Linked DNA regions of Oryzias latipes. The protein of the gene in region 3 interacts with the protein of the main gene of each other region in a pairwise test. Links are inferred from orthologs where the notes say so. Each region holds a gene or a part of one and is shown on either strand. Other genes may lie near its edges.

Evidence for each region. The genes of interacting proteins can lie anywhere in the genome.
Region 1: the proteins of pre-mRNA 3'-end-processing factor FIP1 (region 3) and prmt2 interact in a two-hybrid assay, tested with the Homo sapiens proteins (2 studies listed by BioGRID and IntAct). The link is inferred for Oryzias latipes from reciprocal best matches to the Homo sapiens genes FIP1L1 and PRMT2.
Region 2: the proteins of pre-mRNA 3'-end-processing factor FIP1 (region 3) and cpsf4 interact in binary tests that used the Homo sapiens proteins (3 or more experiments, as listed by UniProt). The two-hybrid records come from large-scale screens. The link is inferred for Oryzias latipes from reciprocal best matches to the Homo sapiens genes FIP1L1 and CPSF4.

Annotation. Positions count from the first base shown.
Region 1 is NC_019879.2:19,641,918-19,652,554, forward strand, and holds prmt2 (protein arginine N-methyltransferase 2), read left to right. Parts: upstream 1-809; 5' UTR 810-1,054; coding exon 1,055-1,159; intron 1,160-1,236; coding exon 1,237-1,431; intron 1,432-3,458; coding exon 3,459-3,620; intron 3,621-4,176; coding exon 4,177-4,341; intron 4,342-4,483; coding exon 4,484-4,659; intron 4,660-6,038; coding exon 6,039-6,168; intron 6,169-6,244; exon of another isoform or gene 6,245-6,257; coding exon 6,258-6,394; intron 6,395-6,477; coding exon 6,478-6,652; intron 6,653-6,744; coding exon 6,745-6,777; 3' UTR 6,778-6,853; downstream 6,854-10,637. Other genes in the region: zinc finger protein 436-like, read right to left, coding at 7,395-8,441. UniProt on the Homo sapiens protein: Arginine methyltransferase that methylates the guanidino nitrogens of arginyl residues in proteins such as STAT3, FBL, histone H4. Acts as a coactivator (with NCOA2) of the androgen receptor (AR)-mediated transactivation.
Region 2 is NC_019866.2:19,276,545-19,286,943, forward strand, and holds cpsf4 (cleavage and polyadenylation specificity factor subunit 4), read right to left. Parts: upstream 9,591-10,399; 5' UTR 9,276-9,590; coding exon 9,173-9,275; intron 9,016-9,172; coding exon 8,965-9,015; intron 7,969-8,964; coding exon 7,816-7,968; intron 7,729-7,815; coding exon 7,633-7,728; intron 6,815-7,632; coding exon 6,721-6,814; intron 6,625-6,720; coding exon 6,552-6,624; intron 6,451-6,551; coding exon 6,292-6,450; intron 4,174-6,291; coding exon 4,105-4,173; 3' UTR 3,785-4,104; downstream 1-3,784. Other genes in the region: atp5mf (ATP synthase subunit f, mitochondrial), read left to right, coding at 741-756, 1,245-1,352, 3,337-3,453, 3,531-3,559. UniProt on the Homo sapiens protein: Component of the cleavage and polyadenylation specificity factor (CPSF) complex that play a key role in pre-mRNA 3'-end formation, recognizing the AAUAAA signal sequence and interacting with poly(A) polymerase and other factors to bring about cleavage and poly(A) addition.
Region 3 is NC_019859.2:11,137,462-11,148,154, reverse strand, and holds the start of pre-mRNA 3'-end-processing factor FIP1, read left to right. Parts: upstream 1-5,358; 5' UTR 5,359-5,561; coding exon 5,562-5,640; intron 5,641-6,009; coding exon 6,010-6,067; intron 6,068-6,523; coding exon 6,524-6,593; intron 6,594-6,688; coding exon 6,689-6,801; intron 6,802-7,512; coding exon 7,513-7,574; intron 7,575-7,682; coding exon 7,683-7,793; intron 7,794-8,098; coding exon 8,099-8,229; intron 8,230-9,239; coding exon 9,240-9,358; intron 9,359-10,032; coding exon 10,033-10,132; intron 10,133-10,241; coding exon 10,242-10,398; intron 10,399-10,491; coding exon 10,492-10,573; intron 10,574-10,693.

The DNA.
Region 1 (10,637 bases), on a different chromosome or scaffold from region 3:
TTTGGATTTATAAATGTTCCATTTGCAGAAAAAAAATAAAAGTTTAATGATGTATAATTGTTCTTTTTTATGAGATGGACAGTGGGTGAGGCCAAACATAACATGTTCTAAGTACAGGTGAAAGTCTGGGTCAATGTGGGTGGAAATGAAATTAAAAACTTTAGATCATAGAGTAGTGGAAAAGGGACATGACCAAAATAAATGTACAGCATCTTCAGGGTGTTCTTGACCAAAAGAACAGGTTACATCAATATCTTCTTTGAACCTTTGCAGATATAGTTTGGATGGGTAAAATTTATGGACTAATTTAAATGAGATTTCTTTCACTTTATTGGTTAAAAAGTATTTGGGAATGGATACAACATCCTTCTGAAAGAGTGAGTGTATGCAGCGATTTGTGTTACATGAAGAAGAAAAACAAATTTGGCCTATTTCTAATTTAGTTAGGCCAATTGGTAACAGAGTTGGACTCCACAATGATGAGCTTTTGAATAACGTAGTTATACACTTAGGAATTGCTTTCAAAACAATGTTAAACTCCGTTTTAGGTAATTTGATGCAATATTTGAGGCAGAGTTTTTCATGTGACATTAAAGATCCGTTTGATTTAAACAGTTGATGAACCAGAAGGATGTTTTGAGTAAACCAAGATGGATAAAATAAGGATTTATGTCTATCTGATGTCTTTGCTGTTCCATATCTGTGTGGAGAAAAAATGTGTTTGTAAATGAGTGACCAGGAAGGTAAGATTTGTTTATGGAAGCAGGAAAGCTTTATTGGGATCTTTACCACATTATAGTAACAAAATAAAAGAAAGTTTATGGCTCCCAATTTGGAGAAAATGTGTTTAATTTTCTTTAGCTTACAAATGTAGACATTTCCGGGAACCAGGAAGTCGCATAGTGACGTCATACCAGGAAGTGTAGCCAGTACCAGCGCTACCCCGAGTTGCACATCTTTTCTTTTTTTTCTTTTTTACTACTTTTTTATTTATTTAACATTTTAACACCGATTTGTATTCAATGTAGTTTGATTAAAATAGGCTGCTACGCTGATGGATCGAAAGAACTTTGTGGATATGGACACAAAGAAAGAGGAGGATGCGTCTCCTGAAGAGTGGGTCGCGCTGTGTGACTTTACAGGAAGCGGCTCTGAGCAGGTTAGAGAACCCGCAGGCGTCAGCCTCGCATCTGAGCACCCGCAGCCCTGAATAACCTCCCCTCTCTCGCCCCGCAGCTGAGTTTCTACACAGGAGACAGGCTGCTTGTCCTCTCCAAGTCTTCTGCAGACTGGTGGTGGGCGGAGCTGCAGGGGGTCACGGGTTATGCTCCGGCCAGATACCTGCGCGAGGACACCGCCGATGAGGAAGAGGATGCTTCTATAGAGGACCCGTGGCAGGATGAAGAATACTATGGAAGCTACGGGACACTGGTTAGATATGTGAACGTGTTTTGTAAACATAATAGTTACTTTTTGTTTACTCTAATAGACTTTCCCTCAAAAAGGCTTTAATATTATTTATAACAAAGAGTACAGCATTAATTAAAAATAATCAAATTAGACAAACATCCCAGCTAATTTAGGATAAAACAGTTTTTACTTCAGCTGATGGAAATCAGAAGAGGTTAAATTATTTTTGTAACAAATGTCTCTTTGCTAGTGAAACTTAACTAAAGAAAGCATTATATAAAAATATAGTGTCTTTTAATGGAAAAAAATGGTTAAAGGCATGAACTTGAAAGTTTATATTTAAGTGTTAAAACAAAAATCTCAATTAAGTTTTTGTGTTTTTCTTTGAAATTCATCATCAAAGCTTGCTAAGTATCTTAAGACTAGGGGTCTGCAACCTGGGGCTCCGGAGCCACATGTGGCTCTTTTACCCCTCCATTGTGGCTCTTTTACCCCTCCATTGTGGCTCTTTTACCCCTCCATTGTGGCTCTCTGGTTAAAGAAAAATTACAAGTTTTTATTTTTCAAAAAGTAAGTAGAAAAGTTTAAAAAAATAGTTGACAGTCTCACAAGTCAAACTAAAACATTATGACAGAAATGTGTGTTCTATTGAAAATGAATTTGAGGTAAGTAATCACAATCAGAATTAAGGTGCACCAGGATTAATTATGATTTTTAAAGGGTTACTTAATTAGCTCTGATTTAATATTTGTTAATTAGGTCTACAAATTTTTGACTGTGATGCCCCACTAACAGTAAAATAATCTTTTTTTTTCAAATCACCGCTTACATAACACTTCCTACTGCTACATTTGCTGCATTGAGATGATCTTTTGTGACACATGGGGTATCTTACTTTGAAAGGGAGTCATACGAAACTTTGTCAAAAGTTAGAAATTGTTTCTTATTTTCAAAAAAAGGCTATTTTTTCATTTTATTTCATTTATTCCAAAAAACAGGAGTTTATTTTTAAAAATCATAATAGTGATGATAACATAAATGCAAATGTGGTTCTTACTCTTGTAAAGATTGAAATAACACTTTGGGTTGTCGTCAGTAAAAAATTGACCTGAATGGCTCTTTAAGTGTCAAAGGTTGCAGACCTCTGGGTTAGACAAAGAAATACATCAGGGGAAAGTAATCTAAGTTATTTATCTTCCTGCTCCTCTCATCTTATATCTTTATATTATTTAGGTTTTACACTCACTTTATGAATTATTTATTTGTTTACACAAATTCAATACATTTAGTATTCATACATTAACATATCCAACTAAACCGATCCCCTACTTTGGGTATCTTGCAATGTCTGACGATATCAAACGGCAAAGTCAATCAAAACAGCAAATCATCAGCTTTATCTAAATTTTTAAAGTGTTTTAACATAATTAAAATTGAAAAAAGTGATGGATGTTAAAAGCTAAACTTAATAAAACATATTTAATAAATACCGTAGTTCAATAAAAACAGCTCATGCCACAAATAAAATCCATAGGCAATCTAAACCTTTACAAAGACTGCAATCAGACCAAATAATGTTTTGTACAATTATGCTGCCTTTGCTCAGAGAGAAAAATAAATCTTACAAAAATGGTCAACAAATTGCCTTCCCAAACAAACCACAGCTGAGACCCACCCTGTCTATCTATCAAGCAGGAAATGCAGCTGATCTGGTGGATTTTTAAACACAGCTTGTTTGCATCCCTAACATTATTATAAAAAAAATGGTCCCATTTAAATAGATGCAGTTCTTTGCAGCAGGCTTGAGCTATTAACTCGAGTCTGACTTACTGCTGCCATATAAAGTTGCTGTGTCCACCTATGCTAGCCCACTTTGTGAAAACACTGAACCTTTCTCTCCATCTTTTCCTCGAAGGAATAGTGAAGGCCCAGCTGATCAACAGCAAGCAGGACAGGTGTGGTTGAAAAAGCAAGCAGGGCGGGGACTCTTTAGAACCAGGATTGGACATGAACATCTCTCTATTATTCACTTATTTAATATGTTTCAGAAGCTTCACCTGGAGATGCTGTCCGACCGGAGCCGCACTGAAACGTACAGACAGGTCATTGTCAGTAACAGCGCCTCCCTGAGGAACAAGGTGGTGATGGACCTCGGCTGTGGGACGGGCATCATCAGCATGTTCTGTGCTCAGCTGGCGAAACCCTCAGCGGTAATGTTAATAGGATGTCACATACAGTCAGATACATATGTATTCCACCACACTGCACTCTAAATATACCTTATGTAATATACGGCAAACACTTTTTTTGCATGAATATAATGCACACTCTGCTTCATTTACAGAGAAGCAAACAAGTACTGGTGGAATATTACCAATCAAAGTGAACTATTATTTCTATCTACATGGGAGGGAGGAGACTTTGTTAGGTTCTAAATATTGTAGAAAATGTACTGTTAGTTGGTTCAGATTTTATGTAATTCATACAACATACAATATATTAGACCAACATCTGTTTTGTTGTTAATTTTTTTACTAAATTCATTTAAAGAAGGACAACTTTATCCTAAAATGAGAACACTACTAATATCATGCTATTCTAAAATTGTTCTTAAACTTCTGTCCTAAAAGACTAAACACTAAAATAAGTCATAAAATCCTAAAAAAAAGAACAGTTCCTGAGATAATTGTGGTAATACTCCCATCTGCTGGTGAAGAACTTGCATGGACAGTTTGATCATGTTGGAAGCTGTTGTGTGTTTTCTAGGTGTATGCTGTGGAGGCGAGCTCCATGGCAGACTACACCGGACAGCTGGTGAAGCACAACGGCTGTGAGGACGTGGTGACGGTGATGAAGGGACGAGCCGAGGAGCTGGAGCTGCCCGAGCAGGTGGACGTCCTGGTGTCTGAGTGGATGGGGAACTGCCTCCTGGTAAAATGAACACCTTTAGTGCTGTCAGCGAACAGTTTTTTAGATTTCTGTGACGATGCCCGTCGTGTGTTTCGTCATCCAAGCTTGATGATGCTTGGTGTACACAGCAACTGTCTGGATTTGTTCCTTTTCTTGGCTCTAGTTTGAGTTCATGGTGGAGTCGGTTCTGGTTGCCAGGGACCGCTGGCTCAAAGATGGAGGTGTAATGTGGCCCTCCTCGGCAGCCCTCACTCTAGTTCCATGTCAGGCCAGAAGCTACTACGCAGAGAAAATGTCCTTCTGGGAGCGGCCCTATGGCCTGGACTTCACACCTCTTCAGTAAGAGTTTTGTGTCTGCTGTTGACTCCAAACTACACGGTGTCATAGTTAAAGACCCACTCCAATGAAAATAGTGTTTTTAACATGTTATTGTGGCGTCAAACTGATCATGCAGGGCACATTTAAAGAAAATTAAGCTCAAAACTGCAGTTTTTGAGTATTTTATTATTCAAACTGTTGCGAATCAGGAGGCAATAAAAAAAATGCTGTCTCAAAAAGAACTAATTTGTTAAGTAGAAAATACAGTTTGCAATTCACAAACTCCATTCTGATGCCTCCACTAGACAAATAGATCCATGAACGTCTTTGTTTTCCTCATCTGAGCTGGCATTTGGCTCAAAACCGTACAGCTGGATAGCTCCAATGTTGGTCGCCATTTTTGTTGCGTCTGTAATGTTAGGTCGGGGTTGTGAGGGGCTGTAAGCCAGCGGGAGAGCATGTTAATAATGAGCTCAGATATGAGTGATGGGAAGGGGGGTAGGGTCTCTCCCTACCAGCAGTCCCGCTCAAAACTCAGAGACTAATTTCAAATGTTTTTGTTTTTTTTCATTTTTGGCTAAAAACAGCATACGGTACTGATGATTTAAAGCCCGCTGTCTTTTACAACAGATCAAAAGATGATCGACTGTTTCTTTAAGCTATAACTTAATTATGAAGAGATGCACATCTTATTTCCACGAATTAAACACACAACAGGAATATCCTCATAGTCAGACACAAACAGCAAGGATTAATCTAAATGAACCTTTTTTGCCCTTTTATTTTAGGTTAAGAGCAAAATGTCAGAATGAAAACAGTTTTGGGGAGTCACGCTTCTGTATTTTTGGAACTAAAGGTTTGAACGTGTAAACATGGCAGACTACTATTTTAAAAAGCAACAAAGCCTCGCAATACCAACAAAAATTAAGTTTTTAAAAAATGTATTGGGGATCAAAATCCTGCTCTGTAGCTGGACTCATTTCTGTAATATTCCTCATGTGTGACTGTCACCTGTTTGTGTTGTGGCACTTGAAAACCGCAAATACTGTTAATAATCTTGTAGTTTGCTTGAAGTCTGAATTTCTCACAACCTCATTCTGGAACTTTTAAAAAGATAAAACTTCATATTTTAAATGCAGCTGACAGAGACAAGTTTACAACATTTCACACTTTATATTTGATTGTCGTTTTATGATCACTTTTCCTTGAGGAATTGTTGGACAATTATAGCAAGCACAAGAACTGAGAGTAGGGGTTTGCTTAAAAAGTTGTGATCATGTGTTCTTATCGACCACAAAATGACCCATCAACGGAAGGAAGTAGAAGTTATGTCAACCGTGGCAGCAGTTCACTTGTGTTTCCTCTTTTCCTTGGCTCTGAAGCTCTTTTCCTCTCTGCAGGTCTTTGGCACAGCAAGAGTTCTTCAATAAGCCTAAATTCAGCCACGTCATCGAGCTTAACGACTGTCTTGCTGCTCCGTGTGACGTGATCAGCATGGACATGTATGCCCTGCAAGTGAGAGACCTTGAGGTAATAAAGGTTTATTACTACATAAAAGCCTGTGATGTAACTTTGCAGGTTTTTTATTTTTTTGACCCTACTGAAGTTTCATTTATCAGGAAATGAGGGGGGAGTTTCAGTTTTCCGTGGAAACGTCTGGGCTCTTCCATGGATTCACAGCCTGGTTCTCTGTTCATTTTGAGAGCCTGGAGACCGGAGGCACAACAATAGAGCTAAATACTGGGCCAAACTCAGAGTAAAACAAATAAACAACAATTGTATTTATATTCTGAAAGCCAACATACGGCAAATAACACCTAATTTGCTGTTTCACGGCAGGCCGACCCACTGGAAGCAGACTCTTTTTATGCTGGACGAGCCGGTCAGTGTGTTTTCTGGAGACTCCATCACCGGAACCATCGGCCTGCACAGGAACCCCATCTGGAGACGGCACATGACCGTTACTCTACAATGGAACATCCGCGGCCAAACTGAGGAGGCAGACAGTTTCCAGGCAAACGTCCCACAGTGCACTCACCCACAAACCTGCAGTGGCACATTTTACACGAGCTTATTCACTTCTTTGGTTTTTTTTCCTGTCCGTAGGGTGGGAAAAAAAGCTTCCCAATGTGGAGGTGACAGACTGAACGTGACCACCAAGAAACGGTCTTCAACTCCATGCTGCTGCACAGAAGAGCCCCTGGCGGGACATCTGCAGTTCATAGGCGACAAACAATAACAGTAGGAACAAAATGCACCAACTCAGACTGAAGTTTCATTTTATTATGACAAGACTTGAGGTGAAAAAAACTACAGTACACTTTTATGGTTTTCTTTTACTCATCTACTGATGCACTATCAATATTTACAGTGTCATGTTGTGTGATTTAAGAAGACCTCACCTTAACTTTCCAATCTGAGTTTTTTGTGACTTCTATCTCGGTTTTGTCATCCCATGTTTACAACTTGAGTCAACCAGGAAGTTTCTGATTATTGAAAAACTGATTAAGCTTATCCCTAAATGTTTTTTCAGTGAATTTATCATTTTCTGTTCACTCAAATCTTTTCCTGGGTGTTTCAAAACGTTGACCGTGCTTGTAACATCTCTAATTTAGTGTCATGAAATAGCGGAACAATAAAAAATACACTTGGTTTTAAGTTGTGTCTTCTTTGTCTCAACAAAGTCAAATATTCAAAAATGTTGAAAGAAAGTGACGACTGTGGAGTTGCTGCACATCTGTCTTTGTTTTGTATCCTTAAGTCTCGATCTTAATCTTGGTTTTGCTTTTGGAGCGTGTGCTGACCTCGGAGGGGGAACCCTGAGAAGAGAAGCCCTCAGGAGAAAGTTGCCGGGAGATGGGGACGAAGAGGGGGGGTTTGACAACTTTCCCTTTCACGTCCTTGTTTTTCTCCTTTTTCTGCCTCAGGTGTTTATCGCAGTGGTTCACAAATGTATCCAGCTTGACAAAAGTCTTGTTGCAAACCTTGCAGTGGTAGGGCCGCTGTCCTTTTTTCAGGCGCACGCGCAGCCGGATGTAGGAGGAGCGCACAAATGTGCGACAGCAGACCCCACACTTCAGATCCTCGGCGCTGCTTTGCGCCTCCTGGGGCTGGCTGAGCAGAGGGGCAGGGGCGGCTTTGGCCTCCCCGGAGGCCTCCTCGGCTTTGTGAGAGAGCAGCAGCGACAAGGAGTGAAACGCCAGGCCGCACTTCTTGCACTTGTATACCTTCTCCTCAGTGTGCAGGCGGACATGCGCCAGAAGCCCGGCCTTCTGGGTGAAGGACTTGCCACAGAAGGTGCATTTAAAGGGTTTCTCGCCAGTGTGGAGCCGGCGGTGCGTCTTTAGGTGTGAAGCCCGGCCAAAAGTCTTCCCACAGTCGGGGCACTTGAACGGCCGGTCTCCACTATGGATTTTCTTGTGGGCCACCAGGTGGGAGGACTGATGGAAATACTTGTTGCAGATGCCACATTGAAACTTCCTCTCTTTGCTGTGGGAGGCCAGGTGAAGAGCCAAATGGGCCGATGAGACGAACGTTTTGGAGCACAGGCTGCAGCTGTGCGGATCCAGGCGGATGCGCCTGTGGGGTCGCTGTCCATTGGGGGGGCTGCTGCTGCTGCTCCCACCGCCGCCCGCCTGGCAGGACGGGCATTTGGAGGGACCGTCTGTTTTACTTGACGGGTGCTGGGAGGAATCGGAGGCGGTGGAATCTGGAACGGGGCCCGGCTGAAGTGGGATGAAACTGCAACCACAGTCTGAGCAGAGCCCAGAATGCTGCGCCTTCTCACTGGTTTTCTCCAGCATCCTGCCATCTACAGCGTCTTACACAGAGGATCTGAGAGCGGAGACAAACACATCATGATGGTTCAAAGATGCAGAGCATTTCTGCGTCCTCTCCATTTACTGGATGAGAGAACTGGACAGAGCGAGTGTGACATCACCCAAAGACAATGACTTACTTCTGCCTCCAACCAAATTAAGTCAATTCAGTCGTCATTTTATTCGCGGCACGAACGTCGGCACGTTGGAAGCAGACGCCAGTTAACAGTGATTGGTCCGAGTCAACGTTTCTATGGCAACCACTCTCACCAGCTATGAGTAAGTCCACTGAAAGTGGATTTGGGAGAATCTGTCCAACATTTCGAATGTTCAATGTGAGACCACATACTTTAATTGAGGCATCTGATTGGTCCGTTTTTAACCTGAACACTAGCGATAAAAACAATGTCAAGGGGAAATAATAGGATTAGCAAGTAGATGTTAAATACAGGTGACTGAATAATAGCTGTTTATTTCTCAATAAAAGTCTATGGGATTTTGGCTTCTTGGAGACTGTGGGTACTTCCTGTTTGGAATGTAAAGAGGGTGGAGTCACTCAATCCAGTTCTTTTTTATTATTATTATTTGTCTGCAAGTTATTAAGGACATGTACCTAGTGTAACATACAAACATGTCAGAGCAAATCGAAGAATAAAACTGTTTTACACCCGACAACAAAACAATGAAGCAAAACATAATTTAAATAGAGGTCTGGTAATTTGAAGTAATACATTTTAAAACTTTAGTCTTTTCTTTTAAATCATTTTTGATTATGCATTATTCTGTAGGGCAAATATAGGATGTTTCCTGATCATTTTCTTTTCTGCATATTTTGCCAAAGTCCAGTACCCCCATACCATCAATGGTCCTCTCATGCAAACCTGATTTATGCATCTTTTCTTCTGCGGTACTTCCTGTCTATGTTGCGTCCGCGCGCTTTCACTGTGACACAACTCGTTCTATGGATGTAACACAGTTTTAACCCAGACATGAATATTTGAAGGGGGAAAAACAACGGCTTACTTAGCAGCTGCCGCATGAACGGCAGGCCCCGCTTGGCTGCGAACAAAGCAGAGGATGAGGCTCCAGAAGAGCAGAGAGACGGCGATAACCGCCGTCTGTGTCAATTAAACAACGAGTCTCTGATTTGGAGGTGTTTGTCCAATTATAGTGCACAATAAAACAAAAACACGTCACAATGGCTGCATTCATGGGGCTCGGGGAGCTCGTATTTCTTCGCTTCTGTTTGTGTTTTCATGGGCTGAAAGCGGACAGCAGCATCTAGCGAGCGGCGGTGCAACTTTCACGCAGAACAGAAATTCACGACCTCGTGCGCTTTAACGAGCGACTTCCGCTCATCTATAAGTTTCGTTTTACCCAGCCCGGGGTAGTTGGACGAAGCTGGTTTCAGGTTGGACCATTGTCCGTTATTTGCCAAATCCTGATTTCACACGAACATGAAACCTTGAGCTTATTCCAGAAACCGAAACAATAGATAATTGTAGGCTGCATGTTGTTCTCATCCATGATTTTGGCCGGAAATCTCTATAAAGAAAACAACCCTGTCTACAGTTTTTTTAAGGCCGATATTATTTACAAGTAACCTGCGACTAAGCACAAATGTATGGAGGATCTTTTATGCCATTATTCCAAATTATTAAGTGCAAATTATTTTACATTTGAAATAAAAAAATACGTGCAAACAAAAGAATTGTACTCTTGAAACTTATAAATGTATACTATAAAAAAACGGAGCAGGGCACTGTTACAAATGTGCCACAAAGCCAGCCAATCACAGACATGAACATGAAAGTTGATTGACCGTCAGTATTTTAACCACTGACTGTATAATATACAGTCAATACTGCCATATCCCTTGTGCTATCTTAGATGACCCCACCCTTACATTGACATGGTCTCCCTACCATGACAAAGGTGGATAAATGTGGAAAGATTTCATGTAATCCATGGACACCAGTGAAGATCACAAATCATTGAAGTAAAAAAGGTTCATCGCACTGTCTAGTGGGTCTAGATGACCCAACTCCCAATGTTAAAGTGCCTAGGATAGCACAAGGGATAAAGGTCAATGCTGTAACCCTAACCCGCCATAGTTATGTGTGAAGAGTCACTTACTTTTTTTTCAATGCTATCTACCTTTTTGAGTATAGGCATGGATGA
Region 2 (10,399 bases), on a different chromosome or scaffold from region 3:
TTTCACCATAAAAAACAAAATGTAAACTGAAAACTAAACAAAAATAAAAACAAGGTTTTCACAAGTTTTTATGTTCTCAGGGTTATACTTTACAAATAAACAATTTTAATAAAATGATCTAAATTCTTGTAATAAGAGATGTTAATACAAACCAATCAACCATAATTTCTATTTTTCTTAACTTAAAATGATATTACAACTTACATAAACATTGTGAAATTTTTGATCCAATTTTTTAGAACATTTTCAACTCAATTTTGGACAATCTTAAACCAAATAAATACATTTCATTACTAATAAAATATCTTGACAACACTTTTGAAAATTAACATTAGGTCAATCCTGGTTGCAGACAGGGTGAACTGAAAATTTGGGTTTTCATCCAGTCATTTTAAAAAGCTGAAATTTAAAATTTAAATACAAAAATTGCTAAATGAAATTTCATTTCTTTAATATTTCAAATTATAAAAGCTAAGAGGAAACTAATCTTGGATTTGGGGATGTTAATCAGCAAATAAAATAACAAAAAAAATACATTTAAAAAAAGATGAACATTTAAACAAAATATAGAAATAGTAACAAAAACTGTTCTTTACAGTGAATGACAGCTGATTGGCGGAAACACGAGGATGTGCCATCTGGCGCCATCTAGTGGCCGAATTTAAAAAACTCATTATGGGAACCCATAATGCACCTCTTCAATTTTTCCCATCATTCTTAGCAACAGATCTCCGGTCACGATGGCGGACAGACCAGGTAATATGTCCTCTGCCTTTAAAATCGAGAGAGTTTCTTTAGTTTGCATTCATTACGAATTTTAGATGGATTATGTGAAAGTTGAGTGCGACTACGAGCTATTCTAAAGACGGAAAGAGAAGCGCATTTGAGTTTTATTGGTGAACGCAGGCCATGCTAACCGTCCGGTTCATTTCAAGGTCTTCGACTCACTGACACCGATAGAACTACCGATTAAGTTATCCGTATCCGGCGCTTATCAATCAATATTTAGACAATCTGGTTGAATAAAACATTTTCAATGTCGTTGTTTCACATGTTTAGTTTGCTAAACAGTTGTATTCTTTTTGGGTTGGCCGCTTAGCCTTAAACCCTTAACTTACAGCTATGTATGTCAATACATGCAGAGCGGTTTCATGAGTGCATGTTGGCGATTTGGTTCCATGATTTTCCTCAGGTGGTGCTCAAACTCTTCCTGGAGCTTAAACGTTCTGTTTCTACATCCTTAGTTCCCGTGGTGGAGAAGCGCCTGATGGATGTGAAACTGGGAGAGCTGGGAAGCTGGCTGGGAGGGCGAGACTTCACCCCTAACGGCATCCTGCAGGCCATCCGCCGAGGTGACTGACTGCAGCCTTATCTCTGTCCAGGGACCCGGAAAAGTTCTGGATACAGACACACTTTACGCTCAAAACCAAGCCTTACGTCTTATTAGTTTCATGGCAAATTTAGCTAATTGTAACGCAGATAGAATCTGACATTTAGGCTCTTTTCTTTTTTCTTTTTTCTGGTCATTGTTTGCCTTTACTTAAACTTGTTTACCTATTGATTGATCATTAGCTTTACAAAACACCAACATGGAAAAATGGCAAATACTAAATCCATTTAATTTACTATTTAAAGATGTAATAATTCACTCAAATGTCATTTAAAAACATTTCTTTATTATTAAAAAGTAATTAGTGATTCCAACTGAACCAAATGGAAGATACAATTGTTTAAAAATAAAAAAAGTTTAAGCTTTCAAATAGGATGGTTGTTTAAATTTGCTAAATAGATGAGGCACATTTAAAGTGGAAACCAATTGATCCAATAAAAAGCTATCCCGAATGGTGTTAATTCTCTCCTTTTCTTTTAAAGATGGGACCATTTTTCTTCAAAGGTTTAGGTGCAAACCTGTATTTTTTTATCCAATAGTCATGACTGTAGAACATAAAAATCTGCTTCCTAATCTGGAGTTTTAACTCCTATCAAATCCTGGTATTTGCATCAGCAGATGAAAAAATGAAAAGTTGCTGTGAAGTGTTAAAAGTAGGGCTGCCAAATTATGACATTAATCGCCATTAATTACAAATTGGCACAATATTCTGAGTGGATGCAGGGTGTGGATTAAAAAGTGATGTACCACAGAAATAACAGACACCTTGAAAAGATGTTGGTCATGTGGCCCAAATGTTCTATAGCACTGCCCCTTCGCAAAAAGCCTGTTGGTGTTTCAATTATTAACATGTTTAAAACGCATTTAAAAAAACATAGGTTGTTGGAACTTATTCCTCAGTTTATTCCAACAGAAAAACAGTAGAAAAGACAAGTGATTTTATAGTTTACTTTAACCTGTTTGGTTTTTGGTCATTTTAAAGACTGGGATGCAGCAGAAGAGAGAGAAAATAATCTGAGGAAGAGACATGAGGGGGAATTGAACAATTTAGACTTTGTTTCTTTGAAACAAACTTTAGCTTCATCATCTGGACAAAAACATGCAGTAACTTTCCCTCTGAACTGATGCTTTATTTCACAGTAGCAATCTCACTTCGCTTTGGATGGTCAGGCTTCTGCATCGTCCATTGTTTTCTGATAATGCATACCTCGTCGAGCATCGTTCCTTATGTAAGGCCCATGTGTCAAACTCAGGCCCGGCCCACCCGGGGTGTAATTATAGTTGGCCTGTGAGATCATAACAAATGTATATCATATACTGTACCACTAATACTACAAATCCCACAATGCTTTGCTTGTATGTTAGCGCGCAGTCGAAACCAGCAAGCGCTCCTCTTTCCTGTGGACTCTTTGAAACGCGGTGTCCCGCGTTGTCATGGTAATGGCTACAGAACACAAAATCTAAATAGTTCCATTTCTTCGTGTCTCATCTCCTTTTTCAGATTCTCTTCTCTCTTCTGCTGCTTTGCAGTCAAAGTGATCAAATTCACTAAACAGGTTCAAGGAAACTAAAATGTCTTTTTTTGCTTTTGTTGTAAACTGTGGATCACCGTAGGCTTTGTCTACATATGGGTTCTGCTATTAGAAGTTTCTGGTCAATATTGTTTGGATTGCTCTCTAAAGTGTTCCTACGGTTTTTTGATGTTAAATTACAGAACTCTAGACCAGATCTTTTTCCCCAATAGCTTTAGATTAGAAAAGAAAAAACTATAAGTGGTCTAAAAGTAAAGGTTGGAAGTTTGTCACGATAAAAAAAACTTCAAACCCACTTTTGTTGTATTTTGATCTTTGAAAAAAAAAATAACCCCTACAACTTTAAATCATCAAATCAGAGACACTTAGCTCTAGACTCTTAATCCTTAAAGCAGTTTTTCCTTTTGCTTTCAGGCCACGACAGATACTACAACAAGTACATCAATGTGAAGAAGGGCGGCATTGGCGGCGTGGCCATGCTGCTGGTCGGATACGTGGCCATCAGCTACTTGTGGGAATACGACCACATAAGTGAGATTCTTACCATCTGAACTACGTTTTTCCTGGTTTGGTTTGCCAGATTTGCTGAACATCTTGTTTTTTGGTAGAACACGATCGCTGGAGGAAGTACCACTGAGTCCCAGCAGCCATCGGGGTGAACCGTCACATCCTGGCACCTCCTGCTTCTATGCTCAGCTCTGTTGTATTAATGTGACCAATTAAAGACAATACCAGTTTCATGTTCCAGTGAGTTTGTTTAGTAATAGATCTGAATATCAGTGGTTCTGACAGGAACGTCTTCCAGTCTGTGTGTGACAATGGCTGAAAAGACAAGTTTCAAGTGTTCAATCACACACACTGATTGTGTTGACATCCCCACTATGGGTCATCACTCAGATTTATTAGGAAATTACAGACAGTAGCACTTCAGTGAAGCACTGACGAGAATCCTACCAGAAAAAAAATCGCAATGGCACCTTTAAAGAGGCTGGGAACTGGAACTATCGTTTTAAAGCGCACATCTTTGAGTCCAGACTTCGAACTGAAACCTTTTCTATCGTCCACATCCTGCAAAAATCAGGTTTCGTCTGTGTGAATTCCCACAGGAGAAAGTTTGAAGTCTGTTCACCGTGAGGACGAGGGCGTCCTTCCATCTCCTGAGGCAGCACACTGCAGCCCAAATTACTGTCCACTCAGGAAGGCAAGGTGGCCTTTGGTACATTTGTTGGCGTAGTGGCCCTTCTCACCGCACTGCAGACAGGATAACAGTTTGTAGTTATTTCAGAATGTTTAACCATTAAAGATCAGAGAAGGAAATACATGATTCATAAAGACAATGTAGCACAAAATGCAAATTTAAACTTGAAAGTTCAGGTTTTATCCCTTGTGCTATCCTAGGCACTTAGACATTGGGAGTTGGGTCATCTAGACCCACTAGACAGTGCTCTGAACCCTTTTTCTTCATTTTATTGTGATCTTCACTGGTGTCCATGGATTACATTAAAATCTTCACCTTTATCCATCTTTGTCATGGTAGGGAGAACACGTTAATGTAAGTGTGGGGTCATCTAAGATAGCACAAGTGTTAAACACTTGATCATCACACTGATCATCTTTTGATCTATAATAAAAGCATTCCCAGTGGTCTTTTCATTATGATTATGCCATTTTTAGACAAAAACAAAACTGTTTTCCGAGACATAATTTCTGCAGTGCAGCAGAAGTTCATTAGAATTTCTCCTCTGAGTTGGGGGTGGGACCACTGCTGCAGAGTGAGCCCACCCCCACTTCCTGTCACCCATCTATTTACACTCTCTCCTGCAAGCTTACAGCCCCTCACACCCCAACATAACATTAGTGCTGCAACAAAAATGGCGAGCAATATTGGAGCTATCCAGCTGTACAGTTTTGAGCCAGATGCCAGCTCAGACAAAAAGATGTTCATGAATCCATTTGTCTGACAGTGGATGCATCAGAATGGAGCTTGTGGCCCGCCCATTGTATTTTCTCAGAAAACTGTTCTCCATCCTGAAAAAAACCTCAGAAATGCAATTTTGTCTTCCATAATCATTTTTTAAAACACCAAAAACATTGTTTTCATCGATGTGGGTCTTTAAACCAGCATGATATGGCCTCAACTATTACTTGATCTTTTACATTCTGGGAGGAGCTGTGAACCTCAAGTTTCATAAATTGTGCATTAGGGCTTTACTTAAAAAAAAATGAATTTTATTTTTAATATGCATTGTCAGTTAATCAAATCCATTACCAATTTTTTTTTGGCAATTTCTATTGTAGCTTAAAAAAAACAAAAAAAAATCAATGTAATTTTTATTCAGAAAGTTGCACCTTTGTTTAGTTTAAATAATCAGTTAAAAGGAAACCGTTTTCATTTATCGAAAAATCTGCTCCAAAATTACTTTAATTTAACATCTGTGACAGCAGATTTTATAGCTGAAAATACATGTTTTTTGGATTTGAAAAAACAATTCCAATGAGCTTTGTTTTCCCTATGGGGGCGTAAGGAAAGGCTTCATTAACCCAGCTCTGTTACTGTGACCCCAAAAGTTACAACACTATTTCGACTTATTTTCCTTGCGCAGTATTGTTATGAAAGCACTTTTTGAGTTAATGCCAAAATGGGTTTTCAAAAAGCTGCCGTCCACCTGCCATTTATGAATTAAATAAAATTTCTGATATATTGGAAATGTTTTTGTATACTAGAGTTTGCATTATAGTTGGTGATGGCACAAATGTCCAGGAGAACATTTCCTGTCATAAACCAGGGTTGCTCACACTTTGCGCGGGGAAAGTAGTGACTATCTGATGACAGAATTTGCGCGCAGTGTATTTAAACACACACGTGCAGTGACGTATGTGTCTGAGGATATTTGATTGGCCGTTCTCCATGTCAATCAAGTGCCGTACTTCTCGTGAGGATTTTGATTTGCTGATGGATTTTTTTAATTCACTTTTTTATTTTTCGGTATTTGTCTTTGCTGGCCTGCTATCTAACCTCATGTCTTTGAAGATCGACCGGTCGATCGCATTCGACGTCATGAGCACCCCTGTCAAACGTTGCTAACAGCTTGTAATGTTAGAAATGACCAGAAGAGGGCACTGGTAGGTGGAGCATCAGGGTACTGATGTGGAGAGAGACTCCAAAGAAGAGTTGGTGATGCACTGGGACTGTATGTCGGAGAGAAACTGAAGAATAAAACCGAACAGATTGAACCCACAGAGAGTCCTGAATTCTATTTTTTGTCTGTAAGATAAACACAGACATTACAGCCCTGATTTATGTTAAACTGCTAATGTTCCTCACTGCAGAACAATGACAGAACAAGAGCAGAGCCTCAGGCGACTCACCTTGTAACAGGTGACCTGGTCGAGAGGTCGGGGTCCTCTGTTGGCATTCATGTTGTTTTGATGAGAAATGATGTTTGTGTTGTTCTGCTGGCGTTGGCCTGGACTTGAGTTGGTCAGCTGGATGAGAGAAAGAGACGAGCGTCCGCTGGAAGCTGCAGTCTGTGGCAGAGAATGAACAGAGAGCTGTAAAAAAAATCCCATTGAAGCCCAGAAATACTTGAAGCACTTGCAGGTACTGAATCTTGGATCCATTTTCGCACCTTTCCCTGGTTTTGTATTTGCTGTGGTAGAGGGGGCTGTTCAGATGTTCCCATAGGCAACTCAAACCGCGGGCTGCAGAGGAACATTTATCATCACATGATGTCGCTCACATTCAGAACTTTACCCAAACCAATTACACCATTATTGAAAGCAGAAATGTTTACTTACTGCATAAATTTACAGGATTTGCCTTCTGGACAGAAGCCCACCAGATAATTCACACAGATCACTCTTCTGGTGTGTCTGTGTCTGCAGTCAGGACCTAGTGGGGAAGGAGAACAAAATGAAGATTACTTATATCAGTGGTTCCCAACTTTTTTCAGGCCCCGGTCTGATTGAACAGTCAATATTTTCACACAGCAGTCTGTATGAGACTGAAAGGGACGACCAACTTTTTTTTATCTTTGCCTTCAGTTTCCCTTTAACTTTTGAGGGTCAAGTTTATCTTCATCGTCTGTAAAATATTTGTATTTCTATGGATATAGTTCACCCTGAAAGGCTTAAGAAAAGCAGGATACAGGCCCGTTAATCCATAACTGTCAAAGTGGAAGCTACAAAAATCGAATTCCAACTTCAGCCTCGTCTGACTTTTAAGGACAGATAAATATGAAAAATAATTGTGTCTAAAAATTGTATTTTCTAAACATACTAATAAACCATTTCAGCAACGTTATTTGCAAACATCCTCGTAACATTACACAGCAGGTTGCTGAATATGATGCCCCATTGTTATGGCGTGTGGGAACAACTGTCACAATGAATCCACATTTGCAGTAAAGACTCCTGGTTTTTGTCTGTTCAAATGCAGATTTCTTGTATTTTGAAGATAAAGGCTCTTCTTCTGTTTCCTCACTTAATATGCTCTATGAACAAAAAAAACTTTCCAGGAACATTTGCGTTTTTGTCAGCACGTCACTGAGCAATTTGTTATGTGTCAAGAATGAGTCAGATGTGGTGGGGAGAATTCAGAAATTTTTCAAAATAAAGCCTCTTTCCGAATCAAATAAAAAATAAAAACGGTAAAAATGTGGGTTACAACGAATCCAGAGCACGAAAACCTGACACTGGGCTGGACCTTACCGTGTTTGCAGAAGCCTCTGTCGTACCAAGGACAGTCTTTGATCTTAGACTCTGGATCGATGTGCAGGAAGGGACATTCCTTGTTGCTGCACTCACCTGAGAGCCAACACACAGTTTGAATCTATCAGACCTGCGTGCTAAGCAATGGAAAGCGTTTTAAACGAGGAAGTCAAGTGAACCCACCAAACTTTGAGTAGAAATAGCATTCAGGCATCTTGGTCATGTCGTATTCGTGCAGAAACTCGCACTGGTCTCCCTTCTTACAGAGCCCTCTGAGCCAGTGCTTACACACCACCGTCTTCTCCCCGCTGATGTGACGGAACGGACACATTCCACCTGAGAGACACAGACACAGCTTTGTGGATTCATACGACACATGCAGGGATCGTTTTCCTCACTTTTATATGAAAGCGTGACCCACCAAAACCTCACACAAATATAGACATACGATTAAAAATAAAGTCTCTGCAGAACTGCCTTCTTTGTAACCCCAGAAATGTAAAACAGGTTTTAGGGTGCACATAAACAGGACAAAATAAAAAGTAAGAAGGCCAGACAATAATGATTACATAAATGATTACATCCAGACCTTTTAGCCGTATTTTGCTCATGTCTGCCTTAGTGTGACACTGAGTACATACAGAAAATCACAATAAAACACAAGAAGTTAATGAAATATAGAGCTGTAAAAGGTAAACTGAACATCACGACAGTGAAAGCCACGAACGGGCAAATGTCCCAACTAAATTCTGTAAAAATCTTAATCAGTGTAAGTCATCTATTAAAAAAAAATGAAATCAGGATTTTACAAACAGCAGTAGTTTGTAACTAAAGCTCTGGCTCATTATTTAAGAAAAAGGAAATAAGGTTATTAAAGAGTTATTTCATAAAGTTTAAAAATTATTTTAAACATTTTTTACAAGTTAGCGTTTGTCAATAGAATGCAAATAAGGTTTTAAAGAATAATTATTTCAAAGCAAACTTTTGCAAAGAAAACAAAAAAGTTTAAATTTACTTAGTTTACCAAACATATCCAGAAAGAAATAATAATAATCACCATTAACCATTTTAAATGAAAGAAAAATATTTAAAAATAGTTGTATCCACCTCTTTAGTTTATCAAAGAACTTTTTTTCAGCGGTTTATTATTTCTGTAATAAAAAAGTTATAGTAAACTGGTTCCCGCCTACAACGTACTAAAATGACAAACGATACCAACAACATGTAAACATTGCAGTTTCCTTCCAAATAAAACGTTTCTGAACATTTAAAACTGTTAAATGCAGATAATAATAGCAGCGCAACAGATGCTTCTGACTGTAGATGCTTTACCTTTCATACACGTTCCCTTCATGAAGAACTCGCACACAGCTGAGCCGGACTCTGCAAAAAGACAACATTATAACTGAACTGACAATTATAACGTGTTGTTTCTATTAAAAATAACAGAAACCAAAGAGGGCGAACCTGAGAAAAACTATGGTTATTCTCAACAAAAAAAGATGCTAGCATTAGCATAAGCTAGCATCCATGCACTTACTGTCCATGCCGGGAAACGGCAAAGGCTGCGCTCCCAGCTGCTGCTCCACAGCGATCTCCAGGTCGAACTTGATGTGATCCACGTTTGCTAGTAGCTCCTGCATGTTTGCCTTGAGTTGGTAGCTTTCAAAGCAAAGACTTGTTCGGTTAACTTAAGCTAAGATAGCTTAATGTCGAAACTGTTAGCCGGCGATTCCCTCATTAGCCAGCTAAAGTGGCTAACGGGGCGAGCCAGGCGAAACAACAAGAGCAGAGGATAACAATGAGATAAGGTAAGGATCACCGAAGTCCTTATATCAACTATTTCCAAACAAACAGGTGAACATGACTTAATATTTTTGTCTCCGAATCGACAGAGGTTCTGTTTGAGGACGCGCGCACATTGACCTCTGACCTGACGAATTCAGACGGATCTAAACGATTGTCGAGCAAGTCGAGTGATGTCACCGTTGAGTTAACCAAACCTGTTCATTTCTGACACTTTGCCTCTGGCAAATGACCAAAAACGAATGAAAATTTCATTTATTTTACTATTTTATTGTTTAGACATATTGGACACGTATGTGCATCTGATCATTTTTCTTAACTTGCACCTCGTGTATGCATTTCCATGTCCAATTATTTATAAAAATAAACAAAAAACAGGTTAAAGTTCAATTCAGAGATTAGCATGTCACACACCAGATCATGAATACAAAATGCTTTTGATGCTTCATCACTGCAAACCCCTCTCCTAAACAAAAAATCACTCATTCAAAGTCTGGTATGATCAACCAAATGATTTGATCCATTGACTGCATAAGAGACTCTAATACAACGTTGTGATCTGCTGGTTTTAGGGTGAAACACGACGCTTCAGAAATGAGTAATTGTTCAGCATTTTATAATCATTGGAAGCATGATGATATGACATGTTTAAGCAAGAATAAGCTTTCTAAGCTTTTATTGTGTTTTTCTACAGTGGAAAAAGAAAAAAAAAACAGTATTCAATACTTTAATACTTCAATACATAGATGCTGAAAAGGCTTTTGACAAAATAGATTGGACATTTTGCAAGTTCGATTATTAGTTCGAATTTGGAAAAACATGTAATTGTTGGTTTAGATGCCTGTACAAGAACTCTAAATCAAAGTAAAAATGATTGGACATTACAGTTTTTTAAATAATAGAAAATAAAATAAAGGGGAGTCAGACCTTACCCTCTACCCTTTTTTGTATCAAACCTCTA
Region 3 (10,693 bases):
ATACAGCGTAAGTATTATAAAAGACCACTGGAGGCGCTTTTAAAATAGATTAAAAGATGATCGGAGTGGAACTTTAATGATTTGTAGACAGGAAATAGAAGAACTTTTATTTATCCGATAATAGTATCATTTACAAACCCAGAGCAAAAGCTGGACCAACACTATGAAGATATTTGCAATACTAAAAATGACAAAAGGTTCCCTTTGCATGTCCCCACTCCTCTAAATGAACAGTTGTAGATGTTGTGGAACATGTGGAGCTTCTTTAGACAAAGAAAGTACTAACTAACTGCAATTTGGATCTTTCACACAACAGAAAAAATCCCATCCATGTTGTTTTGTTTTGTTTTTTTTTTCTTTAATTTTATGTGATTATTGAGTCACAGACATAAAATTACGTGATGGAGGAGAAAACACTCTTTAAACAAAATGATCCAAAGGCCCCAAATACATTGAAATCTGTTTTTATTATGGCACAGTGGTGCAACTGTGTTTTTCAATCATTTAATCCATTTTAACTGATTTCTAAAGCAATAAGTCCAAACCAAGGTTAGTTCATGGTGACAGACAAAGAACATAAGAAAACCATAAAAATAAGATCAATGTCAAATATTTTGGAACATTTAAAATACAATAAAAAAACATTTTCTCTATATTATAAACGTGAATAACATACTACAATGAAGACATATTAATGAAATGTCTCAAACTCAGCATGAATCTGGGTCAAACGTTTAAATCTGTGACATGAAAATGTTTCTGTCAACAACATATTGCTCCACCTGTGCTTATATTTTTATGCACACCTGTAGTCTTTTAATATTCCTGAAACTGAAACCAGTTTTAGGTGACAATGGCATTGCATCAAACTCCCTGGAGAGGGGATTTGGGATGTTGGTGAGGCAATAGCAAACAGCTTGTTCTATTGTTCTAAAGCTAATAAAACGGGTCAAAAAAATACTTCTCAAGGTTTTAAGTGTTGACAGTGAGGGTACTTTTTCATAAAACAAAAAAAAAGTTCTCAAAACAACACTTTTTCTCACACTGATGTTCAAGGGAAGAAAAAAATATTAAGCGAAAACCACTTTATTTCAAGTTCTCAAATCTACATTACACCCTATTACAAAGATGCCTTCATTCCATTAGCAACAATTATCTCCTGCTGTGAGGGACCGGCTTGTTTTGTCTTGCAGCAGATGGATCTTTGTGTTGTAAAACAAAAGGTGCAGAAAATGGCTCCATACGCTGCAGCAGCATCACACTGCTGAGATAACCGTATGTTTGATCCACAGAGATGATGTGGATTGAAATACTGCCAGCATACATATGTGTGGAAGCTAATATCGGCGTGTGTAATTACTGATAGCCCAATGATCGCCCTCTGTCTGGATAAACCTGATTAGCATCGACTAGGCTGTAAGCCGCCCTAATCCACCGTAAGGAGGGAGGGATCCACACGGGTGGGGTGGGAGGAGGCTGGGGCGTGGAGCCAGCAGCAGACACAGACAGGGTGGCACACGGGGTGAAGGGGAAAGCATATAAAGACAAACAGTCTGCTGGAGAAGGAGAATAGTACAAAACAATGAGGGAGGAGGAGAAAATGTGATCCAGAGACATTAGGGGCTTGAAAACATAAAAGCATGCTTTAGAAAAAGGTCACATTATGCTAGGACAAAATAAAATACATCGTTTTTATTGTTTATTGATGTAAACAGATTGCACAAATCCTTGTTAGATAGCAGTAAATGTCATAATTAAGTAGAACCAATGGGATTTATTAAACAGATAAAACAATATCAGTTTAAAATCACAAAGACAATCAGGACTAAAACTCTCATGTTTCTGTAATAATCACCTTAGTTAATTATCCTCATGGATCTCCGTTTTAATGATGTAGTTTGGATATCCTTAAAGCTACAGACACAACGGGCATGTGATGAGAGTTCAAGAACGTGTTAAACGTGGGTTCTTGAACTCTCATTTAGCCTACAGTTTCACACTGAATGAACAGGGAGGGGCTTCTTCTTCTTTGTCTTTTTTTGTTACTGTTTACTAGCTCATGTCCGCCGCCTGTTGGAGCTTGGTGCGAAATGTCGAAGCGGTGCAAATCTTGCTCCAGGCTTTTTCTTTCACAGCTTTGTTCTGATTTATCTGGAAGACTTGGTGTCATTTTGTTTTCTGACAGAGCAAAAACGGCAATTATAAGTTTCTTCTCCTCTGTCAATTTTGAAACGTTTGGCACTTCGGGGAATTCAAGGGGACGCCATCAATATGTTACCAAATCCGAGTACCTAATTTGTCAAAGTTCAACCTGGTTTAACTTTCAATAGTCACACGTTTGCACGTGGAGCCTGAAAACGGTTTTAGAAACATAAATAGCTACACGTGAACACAAGCGTTTTTAACCCGGAAGCCCAAAACCCATGATCACATAGACTTTTTATTGGAAGTGGCTGCTTGTACGCGTGTTGCTGAGCCTGTTGGGAACGTAGCTTTAGAAAAATAGTTGCAGTGACTCTGACATGAAAAGCCTGATCGTTGTGGCATTTCAAATGTGAACTTCAAAACTTATATTACAAATGAAAATGGTCATCTTCAGGGTCATTTTGATCTCAGCTTTCTGCTGGTTATTTTGCATGCGTGACAAAATACTGTGAGCTGTTGGTTTTCGACAGTCTAATTTGCATCAACAATGCAGTTGACGTTTGAACGACATCCATGGTCCCATGGAATTACTATGGCTTCAGGAAAACCACAGCCATTTGTTTTAGAGCACAATTAAAACATTGTAATATCTGCTAAATGTTTTTACTGTCTGTCTCCTCAACAGAAGCTTCTAAAGAAGTTTCTAAATCTGATCCCAAGCTTTCTAGATACAGAAAAGATTTCCAATCAATTTTATTGTAGAGAAATCAGGCACAAATTGAAAAAGAAAATTATATGAAAAAAGAAGAAAAGAAAAACTAGCAGCAATGTACTAAAAAAAACTAAACATGTTGCTTTTGCTATAGCACAGCAAATAATAAATGTAGCTCCCAAGGAGGTAAAATGTGTAAAAATAATGGTTGATGTTTTTCTCAAGGTAAGATTTAAAACCATTTAAAAGCTCAAATTCAGAAATATTTAAAAAGTCACAAACAAACGGCAATAATTATGCACTATGCCCACTTGCATGTCCTCCATATCTATTTTTAAAATTGTTCCAAGTTGTCTTTTAATTGTGATTATGTTGTTTTTAGCTTAAATTAAAAAAAACATCAGTTTTTTCTAGGACATATTTTAACCTCTAAGTTTTGGCAGGACTATCGGCACAGAGCAACCCCACCCCCCTTCCCCTTCCCGTTGCTGAGAGTTCGGAGAAAGGAGCTTGTGGCCTTCCCAGCATATTTTGTAATTCACAAATACAATCCTTTTCAAATTACTTTTTTTGTGTGCTCCTGATTTACAAGAATTTGAATAAAGAAATTCTCAGAAACGCTATTTTTTTTAGCTTAATTATCTTAATATATGTTCTCATCCATCAGAAAAAGGCCATAAGGTGTTCAAAACATCCAAACCCTGAGTGTGTCTTTAAGTCTTACTGTTGTCCCTGGACATTTTTTGTGGATCTTCTGCAGGGCCTTTACATGTTTGCTGTTTTCATGTGTGCAAGGCTGTGATGAAGCTGCTACACATCGTGAGGAGGTCACATCAATGGACTCCCTCCTACACTCCCGTCAACCAGGATGCTCCTGCCAAACAACTCCGGGGCTCGCTGAAACCTACGCAAATGCTCCTGCACATAATTAACACACAGAAAACACAACAGTGTCACAGTGACTAACAGAAAGAAAGTCACAAGACAGCCAGGAACCAAACCAACTGCTTTCACACTGCAACAAGACAATGGTTGTGATGATGCTGTACATCAAATGAGCAAAATGGATAAAAGATGGAATTTGAAAACATAAATATAAGAAATAAAGATGAAAGGTAATGAAAATCAACAGCAAAAATAGAAACCAATGAGAGAAACTGGAGAAGAGGGAGAGAGTGAGTAAAATAAATGCAATTTCTATTATCAGTTTAACGGACAGAGCATTAGGATCCCTGTCTAACGCTCTCTGGAGTGTAGGTGCATGTGTGTGCCCTTAACTGTGTTTAGAGAGCCACACGTAATTCTCACATATGATGTGATACAGCAGATGCTGGTGATATCAAGCCCTGGCTCAGATAGAGTGAGGAAAATCAATACAGCTACAACTATGATGTTACCACCTTTCTCCCCCCCTACCCTCACACTGAAAAAGTGAGGACCACAAATTGTCTCCTAGTGATTTTTTATTGCAGGCCAATCAGTGCATATGTCCATGTTGTGCATGACTGTTGATGTGAGCGCTGCATTGAGTAAGTGATAGCAGAAAAAGGGGAGAGGAGAGTGAAAGAATCCAAACATTTACATTAATTTGCTGAAAACCTAAAGAAGCCCTACTCAACTGGCCATAAATGCATTAACAGTCCTTTTTACATTAGCAAACACAGTGGGAATCTTGAATGCTTCTTGATGCCATAAAGTGGTTGAAGTTGCAAGGAAGTGGGGAAAAATAATAAATATATTATGGCTATTTATAAATTATAAATAAAATAAGAACTTTTTAAAACAAACATGTATTTAATCAGAAACTTGGTTCAAGAACAAAACTTTGCATCTGTGTTCATAATAGCATTTAATGCAAGAGTTGTTTTTTTGTCCCCGAATCTAGAATCACTTAGTTTCCCCAAACTTTGCAAGGTAGAACTCATTGATGTCATGAGTAAAAGTTGCTCTCATAAGACAACACTTTTAAACTATTTTTTTATTTTGTTTGTCACCCATCCATGATACAAAGTTATAGTAATATTATTACATGTAGTTTGTATGATCAATCTTCCAACTCAGCTCAATCCATTTCAGGGTTGCAGGGTTGCTGGAGCCTATCCTGCTAACTATGCGGCGAAGGTGGGGTCATGTCAGTCATGGGCATGTAGTAGATATAACTTAGTTTTTGATTTTAAATAAAGTAAGTTTAGTCAGTACAAAAACAAAAAGTTGAATCCCAATTCTGTCCTGTTGGCCTTATTAATGACCCAAATAGCTGCCATCAGTGCAAGAAAGTGCTTTTCCCCTCATCAAGTGCTATATAATTGCATACTATTTACTATTTTGAAAGTAAAATTGCTAGAGTTTTTTCAGTTTCAAGCTCTGAAAAGTGTGTGGGGTAAAAACTAGGGCAACCGACAACATTAAAGGTTTTCTCTCCATTGGGACACATGGCGCTAAATCATCCACTCCAGTAGGGGGCGCTCTGCTTCAGTTGTACACCGTTGCTGAGCTTCTGCAGGACATTCTCCGGAGTCTCTTCCGGGTTCACGACTCGTAGACGTCTAAATGGATCTGAAAGAACCCAATTCATGCGTATATTAATAAAAAAATAGCGTCCTCCGAAAAGTAGGACTTTGTAATAATTCTCAGTGGTACTCTTTTGTTGGTGGTTTTTCGTAGGGTCTCGCTTATACTTTCAGCTTTTCTGAGCTGGGCGAACATGTCTGCGGAGGAGGCGGACAAAACGACCACCACCGATGCTAGCGCCGGGGACGAGGAGGAGGAATGGTTGTATGGAGGTAAATCAATTAACTACAAGGAAATGCAAGTGTCGCCTAAAATGACCGACATAAAAAACAACAAAGTAATTGTAGTTGGTTTAACTTCAAATTAGACTGGAAGGTAAAGCAGTTTAAAAAGTGCGCTGTCTGTCTGTGCTAGCTGGGTAGCTAGTTAGCAATCTGCGCTTTGGCCTTAAGCAGAAAGATGACTTAAAAGCAAGTTATAAATATATATTTTTTTATTATAATTATTATGAGCTTTACATTCTTTATCACTCTGCCATGCGTGTTTTTTCTAGGGCTTTTGCGTACACAGTCAATGATATCAAGTCATATTAGTTTACATGTGTTGTTATCCGCCCGGTGATAATTAATGTTTCTTTTCAGATGAGTCCGAGACCAAAGAGGAGGATGAAGAAGGAGCAAAGTTAAACACGGATGTCGGGTAAAACACAAACACCATTGAATATCATTTACAAAAAGAAAAAGAGAACCATTTTGATAATTTAGGGGAATTTTCCCAAAACAATGACTGTTTTACATGTTTACATGTACATGATGTAGCCGTTTAGCAGAAGCTTTGCGTGGTCTTTTTTTATGTGATAAATGCTTGTAAAATGTGGGTGTATGAATTGAATTTCTTTAACTTATGTCAGGTAGGTGAACCCTTAAGTTTGATTAAATTCTAAATACATTACATCAAAACTCAAGACTTTTTAGCTCTAAAACTTTGATCGGTTATTTCATTTTCCAGTTAAACATCTGACATAAAATTATATCATTAGTAAATCTCTTAAAATAAACCATCATTGTGGAAATTAGGACAAATAAAACCAAGACCTTTTGTTGTTGTTATAGAAAGCTTTACAGCATGTCTAACAGTTTATTAATAAACCTGCAGTGCACCAGCTGATGCTCAAGCAGAAGATGCTGCTCCTGAACATGCAACAGGAAACGGAGTTGCGTCTGAGGTAGCCTGTTTTTATTTGTTTCTCTCCACCTGTCTTTTTTTCCTGCATCTTTACTAAATTGGAGGCTTTTTTTTCTCTTTTTCCCGACATTTCAGGCCACTGGTGAAACTGCTGGTGAGGATGTAGAAAGTGACAGCGACAGCGATGATGACGACGATGACGTCCGCGTTACCATCGGTGACATTAAGACCGGAGCACCACAATACACGTAGGTTTGAGTCCAGTGGAAATATTTACAGTTTCTCGTAGTAAATGTTTTTGTATGAAGCTGTTTTCTTGTTTTTAATTAATGGCAAGAAGAAATGTTTTGTTGTTTTTCGTTTTTTCTTATCCTTTTAAGTTCTAACCTTTTTTTTGGCTTCAGATGGCTTTATTGTGGAAAAGACACCGGTGTCAGAAGGTGTTACTTTTGATTTTGGACTTTCAGCAAAACACAGGCAGAACAGAGATGTAAAAAAAAATAAAAAAATCTCCGGTTTCCTTCCTGCATCTGCTGGGTTTCTTGTTTCCTGTCAGGCTATGTTGTTGTTTGGGGACATAGAGATGTCTTCTGAGTTGACGTGTTGGAAGTATTTAGTGACCCTAACTTTAGCTGTTAATGTTGCATAAAAATGTGAAGGCTTGAATTTTTGAAACAATTTCTGTATTCAATTTTATTCCATAAAATTTGATGTGGTTTTCTTTTTTGAATTAGTTTTAATGGACCTGAGTGTTTTTTTTTTATACAGGTTGTAAAAGTCAAATGATCTTTGGTTGCAAACCCAGCAATAATCTGTTGAATTTTAGCGATGGATTTGTGATTATTTATTTTACAGTAACTGAATAATCGTGGTAAATGTATTCATGCCAAAAAAAACCTGGCCTGCATTATTTTTTGTATTTTATTAGATAATTAATAAGTATTCTATTTTTGTTGCAGGACTTACGGCACTCCACCTGTTAACCTCAACATAAAGTCAGGCTCCAGACCTTATGGACAGGGTGCGTCTCCAAGCTGTTGCAACAATTATTTTCAGTTGTGTTTGAACAATATTCCTCTTCTTTCTTACTTTGTAAGCATTCAGCAGCATTTATTTTGGTTATTCTCAGTGTCTTCAAAGCTGAAAGGGGTGGATCTTGATGCACCAGGAAACATCAATGGCGTCCCGGTGCTGGAGGTGGACGTGGAGTCCTTTGAAGAGAAGCCCTGGAGGAAGCCAGGTTTGTAAAAGTCAAGTAAAATGGTTTTAGCTATACTTTTTAGGGTTATTACTGTCTTTACAAATTAAAAAAAGATGGATAAATGTGATGCAATAAAAACAATTTCGTCACTATAAAACATCAGCTCTGCCTTTTTTTTAGATGAAAAGCCATTGATAGTCTTTAAATATTGTAAAAAAAACAACATAAGGACTAAAGCATCTTTGGGTATTCATTTTTATTTTTTTAGACTTTCTCTATACTTAACGGTCTTAAAAAGGTAGAAATATCATCTTCAGTCACTGAAAGCGTCTTTCTGTGTGCAGGAGCGGATCTGTCCGACTACTTCAACTACGGCTTCAACGAGGACACCTGGAAGGCATACTGCGAGAAACAGAAGAGGCTGCGAATGGGTCTGGACGTCTCGACAGTCGGATCTGTGACCAGCAAGATCACTGTGAGACACAGCTATGAATTGTATTCCTGTTCTTTAGCCCACACCCTTCAAACTCCGGCCATACATGTAATCAGCAGCAGGTCAGGCGGATTTCTCGAGAAACCGACTGGATGCTTGAGGCCTGGAGTCTGACACCTCTACTTTAGCTCAAAGCCCTGATTAATCCAGACTTTCATATTTATGAAACTGTTCTTCCTGCTGAAAGGTTTATTTTGATTAGATATTTTTAAAAGCATGAGGGTTTCGTATTTTGATCTAACCTGAAGAACAAAAGGTTTCATGTTTATTGCGTTTTCAGTCTGTGCTGTGTGGTTACAGTAGCTAAGATGTTGATTTAAGGCTTTGTGGTGAATGAACATCCATCCATCCTTCCTTGATGGTAGAAATCTCTTTCTGTAGACCTGTCAGGGTTTTCCTCCTGCAACCTGTTAAACTATAAAACCAACGGCTTCTTGCAACACCAGACTATAAAGCATCTTGTCTAACAATGTCAAGAGCCCGAATAAGATTGATCACAATGTGTGTTTGTGTGTAAACTTATAAAGCAATAAATCTAGCTGAAAGCTGCGCCGGATGCCCTGCCTGTACAACGTCCTTTACAGAACAGATAAGAAAGTGGATGCAATGTGTGTGCTCTCCACAGGAAATTTGTTTTAGCATTTAGTGTGTTAATCAATGGCAAAAAGAAGAAGCAAAAACTAGTTAAATGTAGACAAAAGAAAACATTTTTAAACATTTTAAAGGGACAGGAAAAGCTATCTGCTTTCATTTTCCTTTATGCATCTTTTTACCTGTATTCATCTTCATGCATCAATGACTCAGATTTTTCTGTTCTACTCTAAATATAAAAATCTTCAATGTCTTAAAGTGTAAATCCACTGTCTGTTCAATACCTTAATCTGTTTTGGCTGACAACACTAAATATCTTCTTCTGTAATATATGTCAGAGTAGCTTAAAGTTCTGGTAAAGTAATGCTACCTTCATCATGACGGTTGTGTTTTGTGTCTAGGTGCAGCAGGGCAGGACTGGCAATGAGAAGGACATCTCCAGCTTACCTGTTCACACGTCTAAGACAGACTTCCCATCTCCAATCAGTCTGTACAAGTCTGCCATCGGTCAGGTCGCCAGGTAACACCTTCCTCTTTTTCTTCTTCTTGTACCCAGAATTTAGATTTCTTGTGACCGTAACACAAACTGAAGACCGTTCTTTCCTAATCCAAAGTAGTTTTAAGAATTTAAATGACAAAATTTACTTTCTTTTTAAAATATCTCAAGGTTATGATCTAAGATTCAAAATATAATGGATTTTATGGATAGTAAAGATAATGAGGAAAATAACAGAATCAGATATTTTTTCTAATCATTGTAGTCAGAGAAATCTGTCCAACTGAAACTCTGCTGTTGACATTCTTCTGACTATTGTAGCTCTTCATCGGATTCTGAAGGAGAGAAAAAAAGCAGCTTTTCCGCTTTCATGTTACATTTTACATTAGTAATATACTGCATATCTGTGCAAAGCTGATGTGAAAAGCCGCTTTTCTCTGAGTCAGAATCAGCTGATTCCCGTTGATCGTGTCAACGGTAGAAGAGTTACGGTGCGTACAAGAACGTGTGTTCTGCAGGCGTCACCGGGGACATCTCCCGTGTAACAAGTTTAGTGCAAGAAGTGATGAAATTTTATGGAACATTTATTTAATTGAAACTCTTTTAGTTGGTGTTGTATTATGTTTTAACATTTTAGCTGTTCCAGGTTGTATTTAGGTGGTGCTTCTTTGATATTTCTTGATATTTTTGATTTCTAGGAAATCAAGTGGGACCATAGATGTGATTGGTGGACAGACTGCCACCATCAGCAGGGTAGAAGGGCGGCGCAGACACAATTTAGATGGAAACAATATTCAGGTGCAGAAAATGAACGCTTGAAAAACATTTAAATAAAATAAATGAAAAGTCTTCTGTAAGCGTTTCATTTGCTCACTAAGGACCTCCTGTTTGCTCTGCTGCTCCACAGGTGATCTCTGAACACTCGACGTCAGACACTGAACCCGCCGCTGCCAAGATTCCCACCTTCTTCCCACCTGGACCAATTCCTCCGAACATACCACCACCCCCTTTTCTTCCTCCACCCCCAAATGTCAGCACTGCACCTCCACTCATACCCCCACCCAGTCAGTTTCCTCTTTTCTTATTCTCCTTTATTTATACATCAATGTTTTGCATTAAGGGAGTTAACTCCATCCTCCTTGTTTTCACATCTTAAGGATTGCCCATTACTGTGCCTCCTCCTGGATTTCCTCCTCCAACTGGTGGTCCTCCTCCTTCTATAATCCCCACTATGGACAGGTAACATGCAGACACTCATACAAAGTTGGATGTGGAACCACTTAAAGGGCACCTTAAAACTAGAAGAAGTGTCATTTCAACGATATGAAGTTAAATATCAGAAGAAAAGTTCACGTCTGT